Linked DNA regions of Yarrowia lipolytica. The protein of the gene in region 2 interacts with the protein of the main gene of each other region in a pairwise test. Links are inferred from orthologs where the notes say so. Each region holds a gene or a part of one and is shown on either strand. Other genes may lie near its edges.

The links. The genes of interacting proteins can lie anywhere in the genome.
Region 1: the proteins of YALI1_C31281g (region 2) and YALI1_B22533g interact in a two-hybrid assay, tested with the Schizosaccharomyces pombe proteins (2 studies listed by BioGRID). The link is inferred for Yarrowia lipolytica from reciprocal best matches to the Schizosaccharomyces pombe genes mdv1 and atp11.

Annotation. Positions count from the first base shown.
Region 1 is NC_090771.1:2,252,268-2,254,848, reverse strand, and holds YALI1_B22533g (uncharacterized protein), read right to left. Parts: upstream 1,544-2,581; coding exon 575-1,543; downstream 1-574. UniProt on the Schizosaccharomyces pombe protein: Essential for the assembly of the mitochondrial F1-F0 complex. May interact with the alpha and/or beta subunits of F1-ATPase.
Region 2 is NC_090772.1:3,126,622-3,130,382, reverse strand, and holds YALI1_C31281g (uncharacterized protein), read right to left. Parts: upstream 2,283-3,761; coding exon 528-2,282; downstream 1-527. Other genes in the region: YALI1_C31299g (uncharacterized protein), read right to left, coding at 113-231, 282-420.

The DNA of each region.
Region 1 (2,581 bases), on a different chromosome or scaffold from region 2:
CAATTACTTATATACTGTAGCAGTGGCTTTGGAGAAAATAAGGAACACCCGCACGAGAGGTTCTTTTTTTAAAAAAAAAAACAACAAACAAAACAAATCACGTGAACACAAATATGTCATTTTGTCATTTTCTTCTACATCCTTAAATTTTTCTAAGTACAGTTCAGAGAACTGGTCTACAAAGTCACTTACCTACAGGAGGAGCGTTTAATACATGCTGTAGAAGTTCGAAACAAATTCCACCGCAAGTCTCTCTACCAAATCAGTATGTACTGTACCTTTAAGATCTGAAATGATTTGGTGGAAACTATTATAAGAATCTCATACAACTAAGGGATATCTACCTTTGTGATGGCAGGTAATATCATTGTAGTACATACATACTGTTGTGTTCTCGATGTCACAGTCAACTTCCAGAACTTACCAGTCAATTGTAGTGCCAGTTATATTAATTAATCTCGTCTTTATGTCTTTATATGGTCTTCAGTAGATCGCAAGGTACACAACAACAGTTCATTCGCACACTTACAGTATGTACGTCTATCAATTCAGTATGTACTTCTATCTACAATGTTCACTTGGTGAAAGCCTCAATCTCCTCGATCACCATATCGATGGGGAAGTTGTCGGAGCCCTCTGTGAAGGACTGCAGAAGAGCTTGTCGTCGCTTTGTGGTCTCTGGGTCGGTGATGGTAGCTCCGTAGAACTCCTGGAGAGCCAGGATAAGGAACTGGGCATCCTGGAGAGACATGGCAGAGTCCTTCTCGACCTGACCATTCAGAAGAACACAGTCCTTGTCAGCAGCAAGGTCAGTGTGGAACATGAGAGTTGTATGGGGTCTAGCGAAGTCCTGGTGGAGCTTGAACTCGGCCAGAGTGGTGAAGATGACGTGGGTCAGGTGCTCTCCAACAAAGTTCCACTGCACAATGTGCATCTCACATCCCTCGTCTCCCTTGGGCAGTGGCAGAACGAACATGGGGTGCTTTCGGCCATTGAGGAACATCTTGTAGAAGAGCTGGGGGTCAACGACAGCACACAGAGCGCGCTCGTTGTTAATATGTCGGGCTCTCCACAGGAACTCAATTTCTTGCTTTCCAAGTTCCTTAAACTTGTCCAGCTTGACGAAGCTGTCGAGGTTCTTGAGCTCGTTCTTCGGAACGGGGGGAACCTCGCCAAGCTTCTCAGTCAGAGTCTTGGCCTCCTCTCCTCCCTCTTCAAGGATCGTCTTTTTTTCACTCCAGGCCTGTTCCAGCACCTTGGCGAGAGGATCAGACTCATTGAGCTTCTTGAGAGTAGCCTCAATCTCTGGAGCAAGCTTCTCCTTGAGCTCGTCAACAGACTCCACGCCCTCGGCGGCAGCCTTCTGCTTCAGCTTATCCTGGTATCGAGCCAGAACGTCAGCCTGGGTGGATGCATTGGCAGAAAGAGAAGTTCGTCCGATATCAGGACGAGCCCATTGGACACGCAGGTTGCTGAGGGAGCCAGAATAGCCAGAAGCCTGACGCAGGGCTTTAATGGGTGCCTTCTTGAGAAATGGTCTCATTGTGTGTGTTGAGGTTGGTTGGACTATTTGATCAGAGTTGATTTGCAAGCCTGATTCAGGTCACGTGGAGGTCGAGGCGTTGTCTGTGATGCCTTTGTTGTGTGTGTGGGTTCGATTAGCGGTTGTGCGGAATATCTAGCTGGTTTCTCGGAAAACAACATTCAGAGGATGAGGTGCAATAATTGATGCGCTATCGTGATTTTTGGTGCATGAAATAGGTAATCTCTTGTGACCTATCCTGATGTTCTCAACTACAAATAAGTATCGTCGGTATTTCATACACTATTATTGTGGCGTGCACTTGAAAAAAAGGTCCTGTACATCTGATTAGCGCCCAAAAGCTTTGAAAGTTGAAGGAGAGATGACAATGTGATTCTTCTGCTTGTAAAAATAAATAATAGATGTTGCTTCAGATCGAAATGGGGTTTTCTCAGACGTCATGCAATTCACAATTCACAATGAAGTGTGCTTCGGCTCGGTCGGACTCCGAGAAACTCTACGATTGATAGTCGTAAAGTGATCGGCTGTGGAACGGATCCGATAAGATCATTTTGATTAATAAGCTGAATATGGCTGCTATCACCAGTACTTGTAGATATCTTTCAAGTTAGACCTTAGGCGCGTTCGTGCCGTACAGAGAGCCCAGTGGGCCAAGAGTGAACGAAGGGGAGTGATATATTAACTAAGGCAAGCTTGCAGTTTTTAAATAATATCGCACCAAGAGAAGAGACTTTTGAAGTCACGAATACGATGCCATGTCTCGGTTGCAAGCACGATAGCTGAAACCCTGTGCTCTGCTCGGCTGTCGTCGTTTTTCCTTTTTTCTCTGTGAGATAAGATACGTACTTGTACGATGTTGGTGTGAGTACCAGATGTGCTGTAATTATTACTGTATATACTGTGGCTAGATTGGAAGATCAAACACTTACAACAAATACGAGTACGGTACGCATCGTATCTCAGATGACGATAAATAAATTAAATATGTACTTGGTACAAGTATGTACCACGGAGAATGATACGAGGGTGTCTTTGGAG
Region 2 (3,761 bases):
TCCCGTGGGGTATACTCTATAACCAGTTCAGGTATCACCAGTAATCTACAACACGTTTACGAATTGCTATCTGGTGGATTTGAGCCACTCACTTCCGGTCATCACACTCAATCTATCTTATATACATATTGCCTCTCTGGGCTTTTCCTGGATAGCTGACTGTGGGTAAAAACACCTGGAAAGAAAACTGTGGGGCGGTTGACACTCTTATGGTAAGCCAAACATCAACTGCTGAGTAGCAGTAACGGGCAAGTTCAGTCTGCCTCACACCAACTGTCAACATGATTCCGGACACGAGACACAGTCTACACCACCCATTTTCATTGCTGCAAATGGTGAAGACAGCAAACATCTCTGGCAGCATTGAGGGCCTCTGCTCCGCTCATTTTCGGTGGCACCCATGAGAGTAGTTGAGACCATTTGTCTTCTCACGATTCCACGACCTAGCTTCGCTCACAATGTCCCGTGAAATGAAACAATTCGCTCCGCTCATGATCCCAAAATTATTAGTACTCGCATCGCTAGTACTAACAGGCCCACACACCCACCACTCCATCTCCACCACCTTCCACCAAATAGCCTTCCTTGGTCTTCACCACCGTGCTTTCTGGCGCCTCGGGATCTCCCTCTCCTCGACCCAGACTCCAATGCTTCTCAGCTGCTCTGTCATAAATCTTGACGGTGTTTTCTCCATTGGTACTGGCGATTCTTCGGTTGTCGAAATCCAACGAAGTAATGGGCGAATCATACGCAAACGCGTCAAAGATGTTGCCCATTCGCAGATCCCAGATTCGAACAGACCGGTCACGAGATCCGGTTGCAAGATGCACGTCGTCAAACTGCAGACACGTTACCGCAGCGGTATGGCCCTGTAGGGTTCGCTGCACCTGTCCGGACCGCAAATCCCAAAGACGCACAATACCGTCAGCGGTACCGGTGGCAAGGGCTGCATCTCTGCACTGCACTGCGCCGATGAAGGGTGCGTTTGCGTCGAACCCGGTTCGGAGCCGATCGTTCGAGTACAGCGCATTCTGCGCAGAATTGGCCCAAATCACGTCCAGAGTCTGAACACATCGTCCAGTGTTGAGATCCCATTGTCGAATGGTTTTGTCAGCAGAACCAGACACCAGCGTATGGTCTGAGAAATGAATGGCAGAGATTTCACCCACGTGACTGTCGAGCACGTGAATGGTGTAGGCATCATCACCTTCATCCTGGGCATCGGGATTACTAACCACCTGGTCGAGGTTCCAGACCCGAATGGTAGCGTCAGCTGATCCGGTGGCAAGCACGTTATTGTCGACCTGAAGACACGTAACTGATGCATTGTGGCCCTTGAGATCGGTCACGAGATCGCCACGTGACAGGTCCCACACCTTGAGTCCCAGATCCATGCCTGCAGAAACCATGGTTCCGAACGGAATGTCAAAGTCCAGGCACGTGACCGAATCGGAATGCGCTTTGATTTGTCGGATCTTGTTGCCTGGCTCGTAGTACTGTTGCAGAGTGGGTTGCGTTTTTCGTCGGCTGAGGTTTCGTCGGGGAAGGGTCTTTTGACTTGCGCTCTGTAGTTTCTCAGACACACTCTTCAGATCGACCACATCATCCTCCAACTCCTCCGGGGTTCGGGTCTCGTAATCATGTCTCTGGATTACCTCCTCCTTCTCCTCCTCCATCTGTTCCAGCTCTGCATCGATTCGCAGCACTTCACTTTCCAGCTGGAACTCCTGCTGCTCCAAAGACGCCACTCTGTCAAACACAATCTGTCGCATGGACTGCAAGTGCGCCACTCGAGCGTCAATCTCGGTGATTTCATTTGCCGCCAGTGCCTTGCGCACCTCCAACAAGTCCAGCTTGTGACTCAGGCTCTTCTTGCCCTCCACCAGCTGTTCTCGAGCACTTTTTTCGCCGACTTTTGATCCATCCCCCAGAAGCAGCTGAGAGCCCACAGAGTGCTCCGGAAGCGTGGCCTGGAAGCCCTGAAACAGCGAAAACTGATTTTCGTTGCTGGGAATGTCCACCAGCATCTCATCCGGCAACAAAACGTCCTTGGAAGAAGAGGTGATGCGAACCAACTCGGACGGCCGCTTCGAGAAGGAAAAAATTCGCTTCTGGAACGCGGGCCGCGAAATGTCGCGCATCACGTGACTCTGGCTCAGATCGCCCGACACCAACGTCGACGCCGTGGCCGCCACGACTTTCGAAAAATGCGTTACGTCGGACATTGCTGTGTGTAGAGGAAAGGTTGGGGTGGGGGTTTGGAGGATCTGATATGTGAACATGCAGGTGTGACAATTTGGGGGGTTGGGGGTATCAAAATGAACATCTGAATGAGGAGAAAATGGCCATGTAATTATTTTTGTATTTGGACTACTACATCGCCAGATAAATGGCCCCGTCTACGATTACTAAGTCCACCCTAGGAACTCTAAATATTATAATCAAATGTGGTTGGATGGGCACTCATGCATGAACCTCAGCTCGCGCGTGTGGAATAATTGGTGTTCGGTGAACGTGATAAGGCACGTGACCAACTACAGGTTATGAGCAATTAAGAGAGAGAGAGAAACATAATGTGTGTAGATTTGGATCGGGATAGGTTATGACTTGGTGGATATGTTCTGTTGGGATTCTGTTGGGAAAGGTCAAGTACAGGATAAGTAAATTTGAGTACGAGCCGGATACGGAAGTGCGAGTATGTGGAAATATTGTATGAGAAAGTAGGGTGAACTTGGGATGAGGAAATGAGGCGTTGAGAGCTAAATTGAATGGTAGTGGTTATGTTTTGGTCGCTTCCCTGGAACCCATTATTTGGACCCCCAGGTCACTTTCAGTCTTAACTAAAGTCCAACTAGGCGGAGATAGGTTTTTGAAAACTGGTTCGACTCTTACAATCGAGCTCGAAAAATTGTGGCAGAGAGCTGATTTTTTTAAATATGGCAGCAAATGATGCTAGAAGGACTTCTGTTAAGTCTCCAGGTTGTCAATGGCTCTATTAATTGTAGAGGACGGGCGTTCAGCAGTGAGGACTCTGGCTATGATGTGCTTGTTGCACAATATCGAGCTGAAGAGAAGAATGAAGTTATTTTATGTCGCCAGACTGTTCACTGGATCTCGCCAGATGATAATTTCCCAGGTTTCCAAGCTGTGGTAGGGCAGTTTACTAGTGACTTTTGTTTTCAAAAAGGAGGCCTTTGGATGGTCATAAACATGTTCTGGCGATAGGAGGAAGTATCAGAGATGTTTCAATGAACGTTTCAACCAATGGCTACATCCATTTGGCGAGATTTATAAAACTCTTGCTATTGTTCAAGACACCGTTATGTTCTGTTGTGTCCATCAACGTATGTCTGAACAACATACAACACGGGCTCTCAAGATCCACCGACAGAGAATGACTAAGCTAGGCGACTTTGAGTGTATTTGAATGCTTTTTTTTTTAACACGAATTTGAACTCTTGAGTCCTCAACTGTGTCTGTTCATTGACCGCAGAGCTGGGTCTGTACTGACGACTTTTACAAGTATTGGAGACAGACAGTTAGTCTGTTAGAATCAAAACAGGAGAAGGAGAAAGAGTCAACATACCAAGCAACAAAAGGTTCGACCTACATGGACACTGGTATTTCTGTAACCAAAACAGCTATATCATTGTATGACAACACCGTTGTGAGAGAAGAGTATGGCTTATAACAGGAGAATCGCGCCTCCGACAAAAGCGAGGAGTTGACCGTTGGATTTATCATATCTAGAATCCTAATAG